3 linked regions of the Mytilus edulis genome follow. The protein of the gene in region 1 interacts with the protein of each later gene in a pairwise test. Links are inferred from orthologs where the notes say so. Each region holds a gene or a part of one and is shown in the gene's direction. Other genes may lie near its edges.

Region 1 (8,335 bases):
ATAGACAAAAGGAAGGATGTGGGGAAAGCAACAAATGCGGCAAAAATATGACATATAGAAAACAAAATGGTTATGGAGTAAACATTCGTGTGACAACAACTCAGACGATACATAAAAAATCAGAATAATGAAGAAAAAGTTGGTTTCCCTATATACTGTGTAAACATCGTTTGAGTTCGTATCACCATCCTCACCATCGTAATGTCACCGGGAATGCATCTTTAAACATGGTATTGCATTCGTGTTTCCATCGTTTCCATTGGGCAGTTTTGACATTACGATGTCTACACGAATGAATCACGAAGGTACCCGAAGGTCTTACGATGGCAACACGACTTCGTGAAGACCTCGTAATCCCGTCGTGTTGCCATCGAATAAAAGTACGAAGACGACAAGATGGAACTACGACGGCAATAAATCCAGCTAAATGAAAGTTAATTTTCGCGCTAAAATACATTTAAAGTGCCATGCGCGATATGAACTGGTCAGTCCAATACGACAGTTAAGAAAGACGTTCACAAAACATGGAGCTCATATTATATGATTCTATGAGAACAAGAAAGGCAACAGCGTTGTTTCTATTAATTCAAATGGAACAAGAAGATCAGCTATTACAGGCTCAGGGTTTACTTTTACAAGTAAAATATTATTTTTTGTCAATTTTTTATATCAAGTAACATAATTAAAGGTGACAAATAATTTAGAGTTTTTAATTTATATTAGACAATGTCGGAACATATTCAATTTCTTCTATTCACAACAACAACACGAAAAGACAAAAACGTTAGTTATGATAAGAGCGATATGTTCAGGCCTTTTCCATCTGGATTGTTTCATATCATTACATGCTGGGGTTCCTTTAAATAAACGCGCCTCGTACACAAACACTGCAGGTACACGTATATAGGGAAACCAACTTTTTATTTATTATTCTGATTTTTTATGTATCGTCTGAGTTGTTGTCACACGAATGTTTACTCCATAACCATTTTGTTTTCTATATGTCATATTTTGCAGCCTTTGTTGCTTTCACCACATCCTTCCTTTTGTCTATATTATTGTGATATTCTCCTGGAAAGAGCTCTTTTTGAATAAAAGGGATCAACGAACCCATTACCTTACCTTTAAGACAGATCAGTAAACATGGGCATAATTATGGGTGATTATTCAGACTAGTGCACACATTTTACAGTTCAAACAAGGCAATGCCGAGCGTGGCATCCCCTCGTATGTAACATATTGGGGACAAATATGGACACTGTATTTGTATATATGACACATGCAGAAAATGGTAAATTGAATATGCATATTTGATAAATAAACTATTTTTTTAGAAATCAACCAAAACATTTAGTACCTGGAAATACCTTTAATATTGTCTTTAGAACCAGCAGGTAAAAAAATGAGCAACCAATTTCCTGGGTATTATGCTATTTCAAGGAGAAAAAAACAAGTCCATCTACATGACCTTGACCTTTGGCCTTGAACGTAAAAAATGTCAGATCATTACAAGGAGGAACAATATACCAAATGTGGTTAAAATCTTTTGAAGCATATTAGTTTTAGAGTGTCCACAAGGGGGATATTGCCTTGTATTACAACTGCCACTGTGACCTTGACCTTTGAACTTTAAAGTCAATAGCGCTTAAGATATTCTTAACGAGTAACACCATACCAAGTTTTGAGCATTTTGGTTCCAGAGTGTCCATAACAATTTTATCTACACGCAACTTACATGGAGTAGGCGAGGGGATAATAAACTAAGTTTTATAAGAATTAGACAAAAAGATTGAATACCCGCCATGCATGGCAGACTTGTACAGGAACGATATGTTGTCGAAATTCTGTTCGTATTTTTTAGACATCGTATGGCCATCGCGCCATCATCGTAATCCATCGTGTAGCCTTCGTAATCCATCGTGTAGCCTTCGTGATCAATCGTGTAGGCTACGGCTGAGATATGAAGCTTAAATACCCGTCTTCGGCTAACCTTCGTATGTCCATCTTTTGCTATCGTATACAATTTCGGCACCATCGTATAAACTTCGTTATTCGTCGTACTTGCTTCGGTCACTTTTTGGTATTTTAACGAGATCGGGACCAACTTCGTACGAACTTACAATTTCAGCATTCGGGTGTCCATCGTATATAAAAATCGGGACAGTGTGACGCGGGCATTACAGACAAACGTTCACGTAAATTGTCCCAGTCAATGGATGATTTTTAATGTGTCAAACAATGGCCACAGCCACACTGTTTTTATTTTTATTCTATGTTATCATTCGACATTTAATGCTTATTTCCAATGGGTATCGTCCGGTTTTACCGTACCCAATCATGGTTGGGGTAGATCTCTTGAGGTGTAGTAAATGCTTTAAAAATTTGAGATGAACTTGTTCAATAATGTGTTTTTTTCCAAATCCCCATACTTCACATCCGTATAGAAGAATTGGTTTCATCAGTTTGTCAAATAACTCTAATTGGCATTCAATTGATAAATTACACTGCCTCCCTTTTTTGATAACGTTGTACATAGCTTTTGTTGCTTTTTCTGATAGTCTTTTCTTTGCTTTATTGAAAGATCCGGATCTTGTTAACAATAGTCCAAGGTAGTTAAATTCTTTCACTATTTCAATTTCATTTTCTTCATAAATGAAATTAATATTATTAGGCTGTCTTCCTTTAGAGAAAATTAAAACTTTATAGTCTTAGATGTATTTACTTTAAGTTTCCAAGTATCACCATATTCACCGAAGCAATTTAATTGCATTTGAAGGTCTTCCTTTGTTTCTGACATTAGAACAGTATCATCGGCATATAATAAAACGAACAGCTTTAAATAGATATTGAGGCTAGTTTCAGGGGAGTTCGATATTGATGACAAACCTTTCACATTATGTGATAGAAAAAAAAAGTGAGGTCATTAATTGATATATAACGAGAATAATAGAGAGGAAAGATTTTCCCCTTGTCTAACTCCAGTGTTACATGGGGAAAAAATCAGATTTTTGATTATTGTATATAACTCTTGATTTTATATTGTTGTACATACTATGTATTAATTAATGTATGCATTGTTCCATCAATGTGATTCAATGCCATCTCCAAACTGTGTCGAACGCCTTAGCAAAATCAATAAAAACACAGAATAACTTTTTCTTTTGCGATCTAGTTAGGTCGAAGAGACTTTGTAATATAAACATGTTATCTGTTGTTGAATATTTTTTCCTAAAGCCACTTTGATTGTTATGTATTATTGAAAAGTTTTCAAAATATTTCGTTAATCGTTCATTTAGGATGGACGTAAACAGTTTTCCAAAACAGCTAAGAATAGTGATTGGTCTATAATTTTGCGGATCTTGTTGATTTCCTTTATTTTTAAATAAAGAATGTATATTTCCAGATAACCAACTGTCTGGTATGATTCCTGTATCAAATATAAGATTGAATAACTTTACAAAGATATTAACGATTTCTGTTGAAGCACACCGTGACGTAGCTTTGAAGAATTCGTTTATAATCAGGTCATCACCGCTTGCCTTGTTATTTTTCAAGATTTTTTATATTTCTTATTATTTCATCGGGCGTAATCATTTCATTTAATAAATTATTTTCGATATTTCTTTCAATCTCTTCGTAGTTTAGCTCTTGTTCTTCTTCTATATTTCCTTGATTTAAATTTTTGAAGAAATCATAAAGTTTTTCAATGAAATATTAGGTTGTTTCTTCCTAGAGCCTCCATTTAGAATTTTCCAGTACTCTTTTGAGTTCGTGTTTTTCATATTTTTCATATCATTTCGCACATTTTTCCTATACTTTTTTATATTTCTGTTCATGGTATTTTTGTATTGTCTTTCACTGCGTTTCATATTCATGGTTTACAATGAATTTGTTTAATTTATATTTTCTTCTGTATTTTCTCGCATTTTCCCTAGCAATTCTACAATCTATGTTAAACCATGGTTTTTCATCTTGTGATCTTGTACTCTGAGGGGTATTTTCGTTCTTTGACTTGTTTTTTAATGTTCCGCATGTTTTCTTTGCAGAAGTAACAAATATGTTCGTAATATTTTCTACAGCTTTGTTAATAATGTTTGAATCAGCATGAAAAGATTTGGTTTCTTCAAGATAATTTTCTAATTCAGAAATCTTTTCTCTGTTTAAATTTATAATAAAATCTTCTTTCTTGTTTATATCCCATTTCTTTATTTTCTCTCCGCTCATCGAATTAATCGGCACAGATCCATATTCACATGTACATTTATATATGTCGACATCTATATCTATAGGGCTGTGGATATCGGAATCATATAAACAACTAAAATCTAAAACTTTCGAATTTGAGGCAATTAATTAATTACTATAGTAATTAGAGTAATTATAAGATAAGAAAATGATTTGTAGCCTATAGTTGGATAAGACAATATCAATTTCATTAACAAATTTTGGCCCCCTGGGGATCATAAAGATTTTAACAAAAAATGAAAATCCAATAAATGACAGAATACATATCAAATTACATAATATAGGACTCCCCGTGAGACACCCGTGTATTTCGGGTGACAGTACTTTGAATCTTTCCTGGCGAATTACTAAATACCAAACCAGCTAACTACGCCGCAATAATAAAAACACATGAAACGTTGAAATTGAAATTTATGTATAAACCAACAGATTGTTAATTATTAAATTTGAAAGAAAAATAATTCTTTAAAAAGTAATTTATCAAATTCAGTTTGAATTTAATCAAATTTTATACCCGCAAGATACAAAAAAGTAGTACGGTCTATATTTGGACAGTATGACGTCATGTGAGATAAGTTAACCAATCAGGTATCGTGCAATAGGAAATCCACGCGGATGAATATATTATTCAGCAGTTTTGTTGTTCCTGATTGTGACGCTGCAGCCAGATTTTGACGTGGCGACTACGTATTCTGCAAATTTATCCACTCCGATTACTGCAAAATTGGTGACGAAAAGTACGTAACAAGTAAGTACTCCACTGACGAAACAAAACAAACAAGTTGATAACAGAGAATACGCTTATCTTCGGAGGGGATCATTATTTTCAAAACGATCAAATCAAATTTTTGAATGTGATTTATATCACAAAAGGAACTTTGTGAGAGCAACAACAGCTGACTCAGAAGATTAACCGGAAGAAGCAGATTGTTGATGTACCTTGTCCCACTCTGGAAATCGGACTTTTCAACAAGTAAAAATAGAACAGGAGAATGCAGAGAGAATATGGGTCAGTTTCACTAAGCAAAATGTCAGAGAAGCAACTCAGCATATTTTACTCGACATCAAATCTAAAATGCATTACCCAGTTATATTTCAGTTCAAAATAAAGAGTAAACAGATCTAAACAGTATAGTTTATTGTTTATATCATGTTTATAATGGTATACATTATATGATTATTATTAGACTACTTATATTTGTCAAATTTAACATAAAATAAAATCATAATTTGTTGTCCTGCAAAAATTGTCCAATCTGACATCAAACATGCTTCTTCTTTCTTCTCTTCTTCTTTAGTTAGGGAATACCATCAACTTTTTGAGGATTACTTTCCGGCGCATGCCTGTATGAGGTTGATTTAGTGCACACCACTATCACCAGCCATGACATTACTGTGTTATTTGTAAAGGTCTTATTGACAATTGGAAAATCAATGACATTGAGCCATTGGAATTGACTCTTAAATACTCTTTTCTTTTTATGGCATTATTTTCTCTTGCGATAAAAAACTGATTATAGAATTTTACGGGAACATCAGTGGTCGACAATAAGCTATTCTGTTGGTCCCATAAGTACACCAAATTACTTCAAAGTGCAAATATTTCTCACCACTATTATTTGTCCATCCATTACTGGTCATGCAAACATTCCAGTCAAAAGAGATGTTTTGATGCAACAAAACAGGAGGAACATGTACATTTATGACATCAATACATTTAGTTCAAGTGTTTCAGAGTCTAATTTAGCTATAAGGTCTTTAGACATTATTTCTATTTGGAAATCTGCTACACTGGATTTTAAACTGTCATACAACAATCCCTTTAAAAATTTTCCATTTTGTGGCAACCTTTTTAAAATTTTAATGTCCAGTATAATTGGCAGACAAATAATGATAAGATCATATATTTGGTTCAATGCATAAATCTTAAAATCAGTCGTCATGTTAGAATTTGTCATCAAAATCCTCAGAATTTATTCCCCTTGATTGTGTATCAGATTTTACCTCTTTTCATTAGTGGGGCGATTTGTCATGCTTCTCAATTTATTCATATTATTTTTTTAAATGTATACTGGTAAGCACTTCTGCAATTAAACAATATAAATACTACTAAGTCTATTTTGGTCCACTGACTGCCTAAGAGGGGACCTCCTCCCATCATGTTTCAGTGATTCCCTGTATTACCAACCAAAAGGGGGGGGGGGGGGGATTGCGAAATTGTGACATACATGTACAACAATATTGTGCCTCTTTTCCATAGAAATTAATATTGTTTAGTAATCTTGTGTGTACATTAATTTGACATTTCTTGTAGGATAAATATATTTTAGTTATTACTCTTAAACAGATAAATTATATGCGTTGGTGATTATATTAAACAATGGAATTGGAAAACTGTTCTCTTATTCCAATTTCATGAGCTGTAAATCATTATCTGGTTATTAATTGATACTATTAATGATATCTTATATAATTTGCATACATGTTTGTCAAGCTATTGTAGTATAAAAACAGCACTCTAAAAGTTGGTCAGGTGATTTCTTCCATGTCCATTGCAACCTTCACTGGTTTCAGCACAAATTGTTTTTGATCCCAGACTAGGTGATGTGTGATTCATTAAAGTTGTGTGTAACTACAACAGATGACAGTTTTATAGTTGGGTGCATACAATGTAATTTAAATTACCACCATATGCATGTACCAGTTTTATAGTTGGGTGCATACAATGTAATTACCACCATATACCAGTATACATTGTATATTTTGTCAAATGCTAGATTCTTTTCATTAAAATACACGTTTATACTTATGTTTGTGTAATGTATGTTATGTGTTGGCAGCTGGTCAAATGTATGTATGTGTTAATACTGTTACAAATACAAATACTTCATTTGAAACTGAAAAAGATGGTCTTTTTTCTATTCATTCTATTTGGAGTATGTGATAGAATATTTCTCTTGTTCTTGTGGCACTGTGCCACAAGAGAAATATTCTATCACATACGGGTGGGCACTCTGATTTATCTTAGTTTCATTATTATATTTTTCAGAGTCCGTAAGAGATGACAGAGGTACATCCATCTCATCATGCTCATGGAGACCTGGATACTTCCCAAGGCTTATCTGTTGTACAGATGTCCATGAATACACCAATCCAAGTACAGTCCGTTATACACCCAAATCAACCCTCAGTCATTCAAACAGCTGGACCTAATGTACAGACTATACAGGTTGTAAGGGTAAGTTTTAATCCAACAGACTAGAAAGGGAAAGATATTTTTAAAATGGATGTACAAATGTACATGGTAAAACAATGAAGAAGGATTCTAATGCAACAACGTTTGTAACGTTCTTTTTGATTGGATATCGTCACTTTCTTACATGGCATCAATTGACAATTGATGCTATGGGACGTACGCACAAGCGCAGACGGCATATGACAGTTTTTAAATACATGTTTTAACGTTGTTTTCTGTCAGTTTCATTAGAATGGAGATAACAATATTGTATTTTAAGCTCCGACGGCATCAATTTGGGATTTGATGGTTGCAAACACCCGTTTATTGTCTCCGCTAACGCGTCACCAGTAAACTTAATTTGCGACCATCAAATCCCCAATTGATGCCATCAGAGCTTAAAATACAATACAGTTATCTCCTTAATAACAAAATAAGTAAATAAACAGCGCTATTGTCATGATTGTTGCTGTGCTTCTTTTTGATATACTTGTATGTACTTTATATGATAGGCCATGGATAAGCACTTATCCTGAACATTTGAAGACTACTTAAACCATCCTTGAAAAAATTTCTAGGAAAAACATTTGGTTGGTAAATAATATCAACATTTGTAAACATGCAAGTAAATACATTTGTATTTTTGTATACATTATTAATTTTCATGTAAATTATTTTATTGTTTCTGTTACTATCCTGATATAATTTGTTATGAAATATTTGATTAGGTAGCTCCAGTAGATGATGAATTGACAGAAGACCCTGAAGGAAAGAAAAGACGAGAAATTTTGTCAAGGAGACCATCATATAGGTAAATGTATTTTTAGCTCTGTGTTGCATTGTAATTCTATGTGA
Region 2 (8,712 bases), on another chromosome or scaffold:
TCTTTACAAACAACGGTATATTTTTTGGTCCTCCAAATGCTCTACGAAACCTTTTTCAAAATTATTAACATCAATCTTATCAGCAATCAAAAGCGGGCTTCAAACTTATTGTAACCCCACCTATTCTAGAGTTGGCGTGAATCAGATATAGATACTACAAATTTCAAAAGATCTTTTAGAGTACATACAATCTAAGACTCTATCGTCTTGCAATAGTATATTTAAACATTTGACTTTTCTATTCTTTACTCAAATATTCCCCATTATAAACTAGAATACAAATTGAAAGAGTTGGTCCTGCTTTGTTTCATAAAAAAAATGGCCAACGTAGAAACAAATATCTTATCTTAGGGAGGGATACATCCTACTTTGTAAAAACTCACTCTGATTCTAACAAAACAAAACTCTGAAACTGACATTATCAAGATGCTTGATTTTTTTCTTGCCAACAATTTGTTTCGTTTGGAAGACGTGTTTTTCGATAAACAATCGGCATTCCCATGGGAACCAACTGTGTCCCTCTTCTTGTCGACTCTTACCTTTGTTCAAACATGAACACCTTGGAGAAAAAGAAAAAGAAGTTACCAGTATTCTTTACTTGTAAGCAGTATTCTTTAACTTGACTTTCCGCTACATAGATGATGTTCTCTCACTAAATACGGGTAATTCAATATTTGGTGACCATGTTGAGCGCATCTATCTAATCAAAATAGAGATAAATGATACAACGGATACAGTTAAGTCTGCCTCATATTTTGACTTACATCTAGAAATTGACAATGAGGGTCGGTTGAAAACAAAACTGTGAGACAAAAAAGATAATTTCAACCTCCCAATTGTGAACTTTCCGTTTGTATGTACAAACATTCAAGCAGCGCCTGCATACGGAGTTTATATCTCCCAGTTAATACGATACTCCAGGTTTTGCATTTCCTATATTTTTTCCCTTGATATATGGTTAATATTCACTATAAACTTAGTCTTTAGTTTTTTTTATGTTATGTGTGTGCACTTTTATTTGTCTGTTGGTTTCTTTTTCTTTTTTAGCCTTAGCTACTTATGATTTTGAATGTCCCTTTCTTAGCTGTCGCCTCTCTTGTTCAATGAGTCAACTATCCACCAGGGTACAAATGATGTCGCTGTAAATATTCTTCAGTTGCTTAAAAAAATGTGAGTAAACAAATATTACGGATCGTATTAAACTTATTTTACAACCAGCAACCCTTGTATGAATCTGATACTCTTCTCCTATTCTGGGATGACGGAACAGAATTAGTCGAGTTAAGACGAGTAACTTCTTTTTAATTCTGGGATGACGGAACAGAATTAGTCGAGTTAAGACGAGTGACTTCTTTTTAATTCTGGGATGACGGAACAGAATTAGTCGAGTTAAGACGAGTGACTTCTTTTTAATTCTGGGATGACGGAACAGAATTAGTCGAGTTAAGACGAGTAACTTCTTTTTAATAAGAATAAGAATCATATGTATTATTCCAACCAAGAACCTTTGATGTGCAGCATGACATAGAATCATATGTATTATTCCAACCAAGGACCCTTGATGTGCAGCATGACATGTACAAATAAAACAATACATTGTGATTTGTAACAGAAAAACATTTTTGTTATACATTGAAATGAAATATTAAAAGTTCAGACAGATGTTATTATGATAGCGCTACACACGTTTCTTGTCTTTATTTTATATAAGTCCTTTAATTTAATTGTTTTCTGTTAAAAATATTTCAAACTCTACATCTTTTCAGTTGACGAGTATATATGTTTAATGTAAACGTTATAGTTTAATGAAACATGTCAGTTTAACCTATTTAATACTTATGGATATGGGGTAAATACATGTATGTAGATATATACGCTGTATCAACCTGGAAATGTAAACAAAGGATTTAATAGTTAAATACATGTGTGCACCGTATATATATATATATATATATATATATATATATATATATATATATATTGTGTTAATGTTAACCATTGATTTATTTAAGTTGAAAGTTGTGAAAGCAAACCTGTTTAAAGGATTGGTTATGGAAATTTTGACTAATAGACAATCAGTGTTGTAAGATGCTGTGCGTTATGACTTCATTTACCCTGTAATAATTTAAGAGTTATAACTTTTTCCTAAAGCGTTGTCACTGCTTCAGTTGACTACAAATCGAATTTGTAGAAAATCTTACAAAAAAGTATCGGTCCTAATATTAACAGGGTGCATATTTTTTTGAATCGACTGCATCATTGTTTCATTTGGTGCATTTGGTATTACCATTGGGAAAAGTGTGATGAACCGTTTTTCGTCAACTTGTTCCAGTTTTTGCATAAAGAAAACATAAAAATAACTCGGAAAGGGGGGGGGGGTAAATTAAGCTAGCATCGTTCATTAACGTTTCACGATATACAAGAAGAATTTGTGGCCCTGAATGCTCCTAACCTTCGTACTTAATTTGGTCTTTTTTTAAACTGTTATGGAATCGAGCGTTACTGATGAGTTTTTTGTAGACGAAACGAGCGTCTGGCGCAAATACACAATTTCAATCCTGGTATATATGAGGAGTTTATTTCCTACCTGATTCAAAGTTCAACTACGCTGGTGGCATCTATGTCATTGGACTTGAAAATAAAAGTTACCACAAATACAGTTAGATGTATCAAGACTTAGACAGGTAGAAAGAAATCGGCAAGGAGAATTTTTTGATAACCGAAATGCGAAATGATGCAAATGAGCTTTCAATTTTATGAAACAACAATCTAGCAACACGTGTACAGGATACATATTTTCAAGTTGACACGGTATAGCATGGCATTAATTTAGTTCCTATTAAAAAAGTCAGCGAAAGACGATGGCTACTGTTTTGATGGACGTTTTGTAACCTTGAAGTAATTACTTAGAAAGTTAACAGTTTATATGAGATGCCCCTCAATTTCTTTCCCAATAATGTTGGTCTTCTCTTTTTAGAAAGAAATATTTTTTAATTCCGGATTAGGAATAAAAAAAAAAACCTCCGATCAGAACAAATTAAGAATTTTGTTAAGAACCTTCAATACAATATTTGTAAAACAGTTTAGTGCGTCCAGAGTGATTTTCTATGTTTACTTTCATCGGATCGTTCAAGGATTCGGAAAGGAATCCAGAGTTGATTGTTCAAAGGAGTTGCAATCATGTCATACACTGAAGTAAAAAGTCGAATGTTATAGGCGCGTGTTTGATTATTCGATTGATTGTTCTCTGCTGACTGTCAAGCGACAAGTTGAAATTATAAAAAAATATCTCAGGTTTTGTTTCAGGTAGATGACGGATTGACAATAATCAAATAAATAGGTTCTGCAGAATAGATTGACCAGAATGAAGGGTTCGAATTTCCACTTACACTGGGGAAGAAGGGTATAGACATGGACCGAAATTTTCTAACATTGTGGATAACAGAAAGAGTCGTTGCATGGGTTACTAGTAATATATCAAAGGTAGTTCAATATACCAGACGCGTGTTTCGTCTACATAAGAATCATCAGTGACGCTCAGATCAAAATTGTTATATAGCCAAACAGTACAAAGTTCAAGAGCATTGATGACCCACGTGAAGAGGGTGTAGCACTCTCCCAACACTGGGCATCTTATTAAACGTCCACATTCCAATCGAATGATTCTGTGAACTTGTGCATCCGACTATAACCAAACTAACGCCCTTCTTAAGCATATGTTTACTGCTATATCATGGAGGTCACACATGTCCATACCCAAGTCAACCTCTGAGGTTTATTCAAACAAATAAATAAATCCAACCTCAACTTAGGTTCAGAAAAAAAGGTCGATCGATGGAACGAAGGATAGTCGATTTAGACTACAACTTTGTAAAGGGGATACTTAAATTACGTTATATTGGATCCTAGAGTATTGAGTGACATGCTGCATAATCAAACGAACACTAAACACCCCTTCTGTGCGAGTTCTACGGTTGGCGATATAGGTCTCGATGGTCACATTTATATAATTGGTGAGGCAGTAAATCACGGTCTCACTGCAATAATGGAGCTACGCCAAATTCAAGATATGCTTGTCAGTCCCTGTCTATATCAGCCACTGTCGAAATAAGAAGATATGTCTTTTAGTCCACGTCGATAAAAGATATGTCTATCAATCGCCAACAAAAGACTATAATCGTGGCTAAAAGTTTATTGTATTTTTGTTTTACTAGTATATATGATGAATTTTCCGTTGCGTATTTAGATTAAGAGTGTCGGATATTGTGAGCAGTAAAAACGAAACGTTCAGTGCTTGGATTCTGAAGGTCAGCATGATAAATTTGAAATGATTATCACCTTTCGGTTACAGCCGTCCAAAGTTTTTAAAATCGTCAAGAACTGCACACATTCCGGGCAAAAAATGAAAAGCATGCAGTTAAATGATGACAGACCCTTCACCGTGAACATGTTCATGACCTCGGACTGTTATAAGGATATGACCTATTGGTATTCTGCCAATATTGGGTGGTGTTTTCGGTAGGATCATTTATTTATATCTATTGCTAAGCATTTTTTTTGCGTTTTAGTTGGCAGATATTTATCATTTCGATTTTGTACAATATATTATTTGTCAGCAAAATAAGCTAAGAAATTTCGCTGATAACTTATTCACTTGCAAGTGAACAATTCGACCTCATTGAATCCGTATTCATGTGACCTTTAATTAAATCCCTCAGCTAGAGATTGGTTACGCATGTATTAAATGGGTGTTTAGCCGCTATAAATCAGTCCACTCGGGAAATGCATATGAGTGTCAGCATTGCGAAATATTATGTTGAAAGTGAAACTGCGTTCCTTTGGTTATTTTAGTATATTTCAGGACCTCCACAATTCGATTTCAGAACATTATTTAATCGATAAACAATATGAACAAAATATGGCAGAAACAAACTTGAAATCGTCTTTTCACTAACTGTAACCTAACGGCCAGTGGACGAACTGGCAGTGTGGCCGAAACGTCTCGATAGCTACATGTAATCTCAGATTGTATGATAACATTAAATATAAATGAGTTCGAGATTTTAAATCTTTATATATCATTAATATGACTGAATTTTTAACTGCTTAAGCCTTTTATTGTTACTGATTTTCTTTTAAATTATGAAAATTCAGCATTATATAGATTAGCAGGTGCTTGTTGTGCTGCCACCTATCAAAGATCACATGTATTACACGGATGGATTTGATTGGATAACAATAGATTAGGCCCCCTGCGAAGTCAAAATCATAACAAGCTTGTCCTTTTCTGCCATCATGGCGAATCCACGGAAGTTCAGTGAAAAAATAGCATTACACAATCAAAAACAAGCAGAAGAAACTGCTGCTTTCGAGGCAATAATGCGGGATGTTACGCCTGTTACGAAGGTTTGTTATTATTGTCGCTTGAAACGCCTTATCGGTAGCATTCTAATTATGTCGACTAATGAATCGTGTTTTGTCAACATGAAACTAATTTTCGCTGTTATTTATTTATATGTAGGTCCCGTCGATGCAAAAGCAGCATCTTCAACTCCAACAAAACATAAGTACACAGTACAGAGCCGGTTCCTTACCAAATGTCAACCAGATGGTGGCAAATTCCGGTATAGATCTACAGGTGAGATATTTACGATGTTGACATAACTGTCGTCTCGTGTGATTATTGTTTACATTTTATAGATTATGTTAATGAAATATTATTGTTATGAAACATTATTTGAATTGTTATCTTTTATTTGATAGAGTGCATTTCAACATTTGGATGATTTGAGACAGATGCCAAACCGGATGGACAGTAGATTCCATGCAGTCAGAGACAAGGGGAGACCACTCGGTCCGCACAGACGAGGATTTCCAATTGATAAAGCTAGGGTACACACAGTTTATTAACTTTAACTTATATGTTTTTTCACATCTAGCTAACAGGTTCTTTTGGGAAAATGTCTTGTTTGACTCAGGTTGATGTCACACTGACATAATTTTGAACACGAGTTGTATATGAAAACTTCTTTGATATTTTAGTCTGGAAAAATATCATTAGTTTCCCCAATTCATTATTGAGTCCAGTAAGTCAGTTATTTTTAATAAGCACAATGTTGATTGGATGAAGTTAACTGGGTAAATGCATATTACTGCTCGGCATCATACTAGTTGATATTAGATAAATTAGGACTTTCAACTAGTTTTCAGTATTGAAGTTATTTGAACAAATCACAATATAGTGTATTGCTGATTTTGGTGCAAATGGCATGTCTATTTCTGCTTGATTTATTTAAAGATGGCTGTGACTTAGGTTGGATAACTGATTGACATACATGCACATTGCATACACATGCATATACATGTACATATGTACCATGTACACTCCTGACAAAATGATTCCAGCAATAGTTCCAGGGCATTATTATAATTTGCTGCAATTTGTTTTACTTGGCCTAAATGATTTTGCACAACATTACTCAAGATAGAATTATAAGATAAAAAAGTTACTGGAAATTTTTATTTACTATAATATCTGACATGCTTGAATTTATGGCCAAATTGTAACAAGACAATTACAAAAATGAACTTCATGTAGGTCACATTAAGGGAAGCAGTGCCAGTAATGCCACTTCAATGACTTTTAAATACATGTATAAGATTTCTTTAAATGGTGTGATTGTCAGATTAAGTTTTTATTAAATCATGGCAAAATGTTGTGTCTTTTTTGGGGTCTCAAACTTGATACAAATTCCTTGTTATTGTCCTTTTAGGTAAAATTTCTACTGGACAAATAAATCTCAACAAACATTGTTAGGATTAATAGTACTTTCTATTTGATCACTAATTGCACCATTTGAATACACCTTTGTAAACATTGATTTTTTATAGCTATCATGTATCTGGTTCTAGAAAAAAAGGCACCACTCCTAAACAGAATGATTTAAATTAAGCTAACTTAGCCTTCTTATTTTATTCCCATGTTACTTGATTTTTGCATACAAATTTCCTAAGTGGCATTGAAGGACCTCTTCTGAAGTGATAAACAGTTGTAACACAAATACTTTTTTTTCAGACAAATTGTTCCCCTTATGGATCAGCTTACTTGTCACCACCCCCAGACACCAGTTGGAGGAGGTAAGCAACAATCAATTTTCTGTTTTATCAGTTGCTTTAATTTAACTATATACCAGTCTTATAATACTAATTATTGAGTGATCACACACTATATATGCTTGTAAAGTATTTGAATATTATAAGGTTTGATTTACATGTAACACAAGCAAATGAATATTTTTTTTTTGCTTTTGTGGTATTGCAATGGAATTTTAAATCACAGTTATCCTATATACTTAATTTCTCATGCAAAAATCAATGGTAAAGCAAAATCTGGGTTTTATATATATTCAAATGCAAATTTCTTATTTTAATGGGTAAAGAGGTTCTTTTGCAAAATAATTATTGTTCATTTGCCTTAAAGTCATCGTTCCTCTTAGAAGGATCAATACTGTAACCATCAAATATTAATTTAAACTGAAAAAGATTTAAATGGCTTGACCAACCAGACTAGAAATACTAAATATAACATAAATACAGTCTTGCAACTAAGCCAGAGAAATCACATCAAAATGATGTTGGGCTTATCATCTGCACCACTTAAAAAAACACCATAATTTCAAATTAAACTGTCACTCCAATTAAAATTTGTTAGATGACAGGAAGCACATGTTATTTTATCCTGATCCACAAGTGGTAATTGTTGCATAAATGGATTAATAGTAAATACACAGCACTGCCTCCCCCTTTTTTGAGAGGTTTTATATAAAAATTACCCTCCTTTTTATAACATACTATATAAAAATGCATTTACGTTTGATAACTATATATTGATTTGGGGTATGTATAATCTTCATTTCATATATGAATATGCTATTCAGAATCTTAAATTATAAATAGTCAATGTTATACAGTGCTCTAGCTAGAATTCAAAAGGGGCAGGGTGCCAGTGGAGGGCAGGGCACTTTTTTATGATAGGAGAAGGCACTGCTCATTTTTTTTTTGTCTACGTCCCTGAGTGTATCACGATTTCACATATTTTTTTTCTGTATATATTGTTAATAAAGATGCATAAGTTGTTGTTTTGATTATTTATTCTATAAAATTTGCATAAGAAAAGTCATTCATACTACATGTTCATAAAACATGGCAATACACATTCATACTATTAACCAAAAGAGGCAAAATAAACTTACTTTTCTCCCCCACCCCCTCTCCTTCCAAAAGAAAGATCATAAACTAAACATCTCATAGTTTACCATACATGTACATGACAGAGTACTTTAAAAATTTCATCTAGAGCTTGGACCTCAACACCTGTTTTCATTGTTCATGTTCAGCAATATATTATTTAGTGTAGCTTCATCAAGTTGATTTGTGATGAGAGTTTAACTGCACACTTTCAGATTAGAAAGTACATAGCTTGGACACCTGTTCAGAACTTTAAAAATTCATATTTCTTTTTTGACAATGTATAAAACATGGATTGCCAAAAGTATGATTATCAAAAATAAATTGCAATATATTTTTTTTTGTATGTTCAAAGACTGTTAATATCCTTAAGGTAACATTCTTATATAATTTTGTATTCAATTGGTTATTTTTTCCTATTTTTAGTGCTAGATAATATTTTAGGAGCACAATTTTGTAATAAGC
Region 3 (7,995 bases), on another chromosome or scaffold:
AAAGCATAATTGACAGGGTTAAATTTTCATTTTTGATAATTTGTACGACAGGTTTCACGTGTGGAGCATATTATCATGCTCAATTATCATGCTCACCCTTCCGGAGCACCTGGTATCACTCCCGGTTATGGTTGAGTTCGTGATGCTCTGTCTTTATTTTTCTATTTCGTATTTTGTATGCTGTTGTTTGTTTTAAAGTATTTTTTACTGTTTTAGCCATGGCGTTTTAAGCTTCATGATTTTCGTCTAATGACGTTGGATGTCCTTTTGGTATTTTTCACTCTTTTTTGTAAAATATAATTTGTATTTTGCGTTCTAGACTTTTTATCACTTTTGTCTTCCTTTATATATATCCTTACTGTTGGTTGGTGTGAGTGGAGGTTATTCAAATATTAAAGTGTCTTTTTTAACCTCTGATAACTGTTAATTGTCATAAACCGTTTACGGTTCTAAAGCTGTAATTTATGGACTGCTGCTAGTAAATAAAGATCACTTTGGACCAGGTGAGCTAAACACGAATGTATCTGCAATGATATCAAAATAGTAAATATGATAATAAATGTTGATCTCATTGTTTACTTACTCCATTTGATATATATTATAAACATGCAAGTGAATGACGATAAAATAGAGATATTATACCTACCGTAAACATAGTAGGTTTTTCTCTGATCATTTTCAATGTTGCGTCACATCCGGAGGAATGACACATCAAAGCTGTAGTGTTCCATGCAACTGTTCCTAACGTTTTGTTTGTCATATAGTGTTGAAGCTAAAAAGCACATATAAATGTAGTATGAAGAACATTTCATTATGTTTAAAGCCCAACTGAAAAGGAAATAATACATAAAAATGAGAACAGAATTATTAATGATATTATAGACAATATAAAAGACCTCATTAACAAAACAGCCAATGACTCCGAAAACAACAGACGTACATACGCATGGTCTATGTAGTCCGACTAGGTAAAGGCACGTGTTGAGTAAAAATTTGTTATAATTGAGGGTGAAACATTTCAAAGACAAAGAAAGTGAAGTGTCTGCACCAGTTTTTTTTTTTGTTTTTGTTTTTTTCTCTTGTTCAGCGTATTTTTTTTTATACCATAGCGAATGACTTTGAATTCGTCAAAAAACGGATTGGGACCAGATTAGAATACAGGTGTCTTTTCAAAATTTACATTTTTTTTTTTGGTTATAAGTAAGAATATATCTTAACACATTTTCTGCATGCAATCCGAATTAAATTACTCACCCATGCATGTTGTTCAAAGTACTTCGAAATATCCTGTTTTAATTCGCCAGCATTTATCAAATTTTGTTTTTCCAATGGAAATGCGTAATCTATTCCAAAAATAAAGAAACCATGGGAGGCTATTCTTGAAAGTACAGTTTCATAGTACTCAGCCAACACATACGTATCGAAACCACCAATAAACAAAACAGCCGGGTAAAATCCGGGTTCTAGTGGGAAATAAACTAAAAAGAAAATATTTTAAGTGAAAATTAGTAAATCTATCTTTCAAACTAACAACTTAGAATTATACAAAAACAAACACATAATAGACGATTTCATTTAAGAACAAAACAATGAAATATTTTACAGATCTCATTAAAAGTAGAATTATTACAATTCATTACATGGTTTTTACGTATAATTAATACGTGGCCTTTGGCTGTTGTCTACTCTATGGTCGGGTTGTTGCTTCTTTGACACATTCCCCATTCTCAATTTTATACAAAGCTAACATGTTTGGGAATTGTCCTTTACATTTTGCTTTTGAATCTATTGACTTTGTGGTAATGTTTATTATACTGTTTCTTGTTGATCGATACTTCTCGCCGATCAAAGCTGTATAGTAAGTTACCTTTTGTGTGTAAAGGACTTTTTTGTCCGGTTTTGCTTAGTGTCAGTCCGCCAACTTTTAATGGACGATCTGTATATGGGTTACCAGTATCTACGTAGGTGTTAATACCTAAAATACAATTTGGAGTTAGTGCAAAACAATAATATTTCATTTTTCTATCTACCCAATGAGAGGATTGTATGTATTTTACATACAATAAACGAATTTTAGAGCAATTGTACTCTGGGCATATGTTCTAGTACTCAGTAGTATACAAAAAACTTCACAAATGATAAATAAAAACACCATATACTATACAATCCATATTATCTTAGCCTTTTCCTTACACATGTTATATATTTCTAAGTCAAGTGTACGTACGTATGTTAAACATTGTCTTATGACAATCGTCGTGCACGTGTTTATTTTGTGTATATTGGAGGAGGCCTACGACTTGTTAAAAATGCTTGTTCTGTCCATTTTTTTTTAATTTCGTCATTTTACAAAATATGTTCAAAAGTAAAGTATCTATACGATATGAAAATAACAATAGAAACAGGTTCGTGGGTTAGTTTTATTAATTGTCATTAAACATTTACAAGGTTTGTGGCAATACAATTTTAAACAAACAAACTAAAAAGAACAAAACAAAATAGTATACGAAAAGCATTCAAATAGATATAAAAACATAAGTTTTATATGTAATGCCACAACAAAAAACAAGCAAAAATCACCAGTGCAGTGGTGTTCAAATTCTGTATTCCCCCCATTTTGCTAATTATTTCTTTTCATCAATACTCATAAAAATACTCACCCAAACATATAACGCAACGAAAAAGCAACCCGCAAAATACATAGTATTGCATGGTGTCAAAATGTAAGCTGTTGATACAGACGTTGTTTGTTTGATAATCGGGTTATCTTTGGACGGTCAGTCCAGACGAAGTGATAACATAATTAATAAACAAAATTTATTATCTGAATATTGAATCAGTTTCAATGATAAAATGAAATACGCAAATAATTATTACATATATATATATATATAAAAGGAGCTGTGGTATGATTGCCAAAGAGACCAAAATGACATAGAAATTTAAAACAACTATAATTCACCATATGGACTTCAGCAATGAGGATAGCCCATATCGCATAATCAGCTATAAAAGACCCCGAAATGACAATGTAAAACAATTCAAACGAGAAAACTAACGGCCTTATTTATGTACAAAAATGAATGAAAAACAAATATGAAACACATAAACAAACGACAACCACTGAATTACAGGCTCCTGATTATATTATAATTACTTCGTCGTATTACCTGGTGCGAAATTGTTAAGAATAGAAACTAAGCCGTTTTTAATTTTGTTATTTTTCACAATTCAGTACGTTAGTTTTTTAGTATTTACATTTGGCATGTCGGGGCCTTTTCATCATTATATATAGTTAGATATGAGGTATTGTTTTTGCCCATTGCTGAAGGCCGTATGGTGACCTATCGTTTTATATGTTCAGTGGACCGTGAAAATCGAATAAAATCTCTAATTTGGCATTAAAATTTTAAAAAATCATATCATAGGGAACATGTTTACTAAGTTTCAAGTTGATTGGACTTCAACTTCATTCAAAACTACCTCGACCAAAAATTTAACCTGAAGCGGGACAGACGGTCGAACGGACGGCCGGCCGGACGCACACACAGACTAGAAAACATAGTGCCCATAAATGGGGCATAAAAATATAAATAGGTTCCTTACATCCCTAGCCGAAATAAATTGTTAAAAGAAAAATTACTATCTATCTATTGTTCTTTCGGGTGTATGATGTCCTTTTTTCTCATCGGGTGGCCTTCGATACACAATTTTTAATTCATGTACAATTTGAAATAGTGTACAACAAGAATGTGTCCAAAGTACACGGATGCCCCACTCGCACTATCCTTTTCCATGTTCCATGGACCGTGAAATTGGGTAATAATCTAATTTGGAATTAAAATTAGAAAGATTATACTATACATGGGGAACATATGTACTAAGTTTCAAGTTGATTGGACTTCAATTTCATCAAAAACTACCTTCACTTTCATTTTCTATGTTCAGTGGACCGTGAAATTAGTGTCAAGCGAGACAAGAAAACAAGTGGATCGTAGCAAACATAATGTTTGTTTCGATGGGTATTTTCGCCAGTCAACACATGATTAATGTCCTTGCATAGACCATTTTGGGATATTGTTTTTATCAATATGTGTTTTTTATCAGTCGAGTTCTTTTCAGGTGAAAATGTATCCTGTGCAGATATGAAGTATGGATGATTAAATGTATATCTTGTTTCTTTACTTGAAAATCAGTAGAAAAATGATTTACGATAGCTTGTCGATTAGCGCCGATGTTGCTGTATTATGTAGTTTGAACATGACGTTAAAGATGGTTGAGACGTTTGTGATATATACCATAAGACGTCCTTAGTACCGCTTGTGACGTTTGCATATGTCTGTAACTACAAGATGCCTTCTTTGCACGAATATCAAACGTCTACAATGAAAAATGCTCTTGGTCGCAGAAATATCAACATGGACTTCATTAATAGTGAAATTTAGAAAAGATGAGTAATGGAGAAGACAATAGAGTGAAAACACCAGCAGAAGCTATTTCAGTTTCCTCTGCAAAAAGCAGAGTTCTACATAAGCGTTTCGCAGTTTTGGAGTCACAAGGATTTGTAGTAGGAAAATTTCTAGGTCAAGGATCATATGCATGTGTCCGTGCAGCTTATGATGTCAACAGAAAACACGAAGTAGCGGTCAAAATAATTTCGAAAAGGAAGGCACCGGAAGATTATTTAGTTAAATTTTTACCGCGAGAAATCGACGTGATCAAAGTTTTGAAGCATCCATATTTAATTCAATTTTTCCAAGTAATAGAAACGACAACGAGATTTTTCTTAGTGATGGAATGTGGCCATGTTGATCTATTGGATGTTATACGTTCACGAAAAGCAATAGAAGAAGATACTGCTGGAAAATGGTTTTATCAAATGTCACAAGGTATAGGATATATGCATAGTAAAGGAATTGTACACCGAGATCTCAAATGTGAGAATTTGTTGCTTGATAAATATGAAAACTTGAAAGTCACAGATTTTGGATTTGCGAAGAGACTTGTAAAAGGAAAATTAGGAGAAATTAAACCCAGTGAAACATATTGCGGAAGCTATGCATACGCACCTCCAGAAATTTTAAAAGGATCCCCTTATGATCCTATGATTGCAGATGTTTGGAGTATGGGTGTCGTTTTATTTACAATGGTAAGTAAATTTGAAGAGTATTGGTTTTAAAATAGAATCATATTCAAAACAGTGTGGCTGTGGCCATTGATTGACGACCTAAATTATCCCATTGACTGGGACACTATAAGGTGAACGCTTGTCTGATACGATCACGGCTCACTATGTACTTATTAAAGACACTTAAACTGTGGGGTCACCAAAGGTTCTCAACACCTAAATAAAGTAATTCGAAAAATAATCAGGAATAACACGATGTTTTGATCTATATCAATAATATAAATCAAAACATAAAAGTTAATCGTGATTAATTTTTCGAACTGTTTTATTATTAAAGGCGCTAAGAACCTCTGATGACCCCACGGTTTAAATTCTATAATAAGTAAGTAGTGAGCAGTTGTCGTTACAGACAAACGTTCACATAATCTGTCCCAGTCAATGGGATAATTTAGGTCGTCAATCAATGGCCACAGCCACACTGTTTTGAAAATGATTCTAAAGTCATCTTTCTCGGAGTAGCGATCTTTAATCCGTATTCTCAGCTCAACACTTCTATTACCTATAGGCCAGTAATTCAAGAACCATACACCTTTTTACCTCTTTAAACAAACTTGAAACTAACGAATACGAATACGAAACTGTTATTTTGATTCGGTTCACATATATAACAATACAAACATAACCTCGGAAGAGCTTTTTACCGAATATAAAATAACATTAACAGATCATTGAAACACACAACATGCAGACAAGATATATAACAGAACAGGCATATTGAAATACATGCAGACCACTGTCAGCACTAAAATACATATTTGAACAAGCCAAAACTGAATCACAACTAAAATTTTAGCACAACTAAAATCAAACACAAATTAAAACATAGCACACATGCAAACTTTAAGGCAGCTCTACTGTAGCGTTTCTGTGAAATAGGTTTTTGCTTCATAGAAGTATTTGTAGTTATGTACATTGTGCAAATTATTTAAACTTGACTATTTGATAGGTCTATTATTTTAATTTACTTGAAGTATTTTGTTAAAAAAATATTCGTCTTCCCCCCTTTTTGTTTTCGTCAGCAATTCAAGTTCATTTCTAACTGTTTTCATTTAAAGAAACTTTTAGTAGAACTTTGATTTTTGAAACTTAAAGTTCTAAAATTGAAAATAGTCACCTACAATTATAAAGATTGCAAGGTTCTTTTTATACTTTATGACTTGGGTGGACGGTTGTCTCATTGACACTCATACCACATCTTCTTATTTATAAGGGTTTAATAGCTTGTAAAAATAGTTTTGCATTTCATTTCTCCTGACAATATAACTATTTCAAATTTGTAATCAAGGTATCAAACCTTCATGCAAAGTTTTTAAAAAAGACAATCAAGAAAAGCACTGCCACAAGTGACGATGCTATTCTCCAAGAAACTTGTGTAGTACTTTACAGAAAGTTTGTGCATAGTACTATCTTGTTGTTTTACTTCCGGATTAACTTGTATAGATAAAACAACAAGATAGTTCTATGTACAAACTTTCTGTGCAGTACTATATGAGTCTTAAAAAGTATTTTTGTCGGCTCACTTCGGCCATCGTTTAAATGACTTGTTGGTGTATTTCTTCAATTCTTCTGTGAAGAATGGGCAAATCATGAAATAATGAAATTCATCGCCTTTGTCACTTTTACGTATGCGATATTTTGTTTTCTCCCTTTGAATGTTTGCTCATCTTCCATTCTCGATATCGTCCTGAATATGCATGAAATATTTGCCACTGGACGTTAAGCAACCAACAATCAATCAATCAATCCATTCTCGATAGAAACGTTATGATTGAAATGCCCTTATCTTCAAAATGTGAAGATATCTTTATCTCCAAGTATGCTTTAAAATAATCTTTCGAAAGTTTATGTTTCCTTGAAAAGACGATAATTAATAGTTTTAGATTAATTATTAGCATTGGCTGTAAAGTTTGTTTTGAATGATCTAACATTTAATCCAGTTGTCAATATGGAATAGTTGATACCTCCGTTTTTAGGAAAACCCATACTAGTTAAATTTATAATGTTTTCAACCGAAATAACCAATCGGAACAAAAACCATACAAAGTCTTGTCTTAAAGTCAGCATTTGATATTTAAATTTAAAATCAGTGTATCCCAACATTTTGCAACCATATTACAAAATCGGATTGACAGGTTTTATCAAAAAGGTTAGTTGGACAATGAAAGAAAGATTATGTCAAGTCCTGGTTTTATAATTTCATAATTGCTTAATTGCATTTTCTGCTAATGGGGATTTGCATAACATAAAGTTTCCATTTGTTTTAAAAGATTACTCCTAGATAATAAAGTCCTTTACAATTTCAATCGGTATCGATAGTATCTGAAATGTAGATTTTTTATGAATTCTTCCTTCTTAAATTCAATTGCCTTTGTTTGTTTTTTTGTTTTGTTTTTTCTATTTAAAATTTATGCCCAAAGTACAACAATATTTGTCGAATTTAATCTAAGATTTCTGCAACTCATTTGACAATTTCGCTATTTTCATTCATTCTCCAGCGTACAGAAACACAAATAACCTCACATAAATTCCAAACCTAGTTTCCACGGTATACTTATTTTTTCTAGACATGCCTTCGGTTGTGATTTTTACTCTTTGTTCGGGTTGATGTCTCTGTGACATATTCTCCATTTCCATTCTATATTTAATCAAGAGGCTTAAGTTTAGTCGTCATCTTGTTTGTGTGTGTGTGTGTGTTTGTGTTTTATAAATTAATACGAAGCCTCTGATCTTTGTTAGTCTTGTGTGTTTTATATTTTATTTTTTTGTCCAGTTATATGTTTCGGAGTTCACTATAACATCCATATTCA

The links.
Region 2: the proteins of cAMP-responsive element modulator-like (region 1) and CREB-regulated transcription coactivator 1-like interact in binary tests that used the Homo sapiens proteins (3 or more experiments, as listed by UniProt). The link is inferred for Mytilus edulis from reciprocal best matches to the Homo sapiens genes CREB1 and CRTC1.
Region 3: the proteins of cAMP-responsive element modulator-like (region 1) and testis-specific serine/threonine-protein kinase 4-like interact in binary tests that used the Homo sapiens proteins (3 or more experiments, as listed by UniProt). The link is inferred for Mytilus edulis from reciprocal best matches to the Homo sapiens genes CREB1 and TSSK4.

Annotation. Positions count from the first base shown.
Region 1 is NC_092345.1:72,167,335-72,175,669, reverse strand, and holds the start of cAMP-responsive element modulator-like, read left to right. Parts: upstream 1-4,846; 5' UTR 4,847-4,993; exon of another isoform or gene 4,994-5,254; intron 5,255-7,294; 5' UTR 7,295-7,306; coding exon 7,307-7,483; intron 7,484-8,208; coding exon 8,209-8,291; intron 8,292-8,335.
Region 2 is NC_092347.1:28,357,668-28,366,379, forward strand, and holds the start of CREB-regulated transcription coactivator 1-like, read left to right. Parts: upstream 1-5,245; 5' UTR 5,246-5,295; coding exon 5,296-5,406; intron 5,407-5,521; coding exon 5,522-5,638; intron 5,639-5,763; coding exon 5,764-5,892; intron 5,893-7,075; coding exon 7,076-7,137; intron 7,138-8,712. UniProt on the Homo sapiens protein: Transcriptional coactivator for CREB1 which activates transcription through both consensus and variant cAMP response element (CRE) sites.
Region 3 is NC_092348.1:65,301,734-65,309,728, forward strand, and holds the start of testis-specific serine/threonine-protein kinase 4-like, read left to right. Parts: upstream 1-4,322; 5' UTR 4,323-4,450; coding exon 4,451-5,149; intron 5,150-7,995. Other genes in the region: uncharacterized protein, read right to left, coding at 647-772, 1,255-1,478, 1,868-1,975, 2,661-2,712. UniProt on the Homo sapiens protein: Serine/threonine kinase which is involved in male germ cell development and in mature sperm function. May be involved in the Cre/Creb signaling pathway. Phosphorylates CREB1 on 'Ser-133' in vitro and can stimulate Cre/Creb pathway in cells.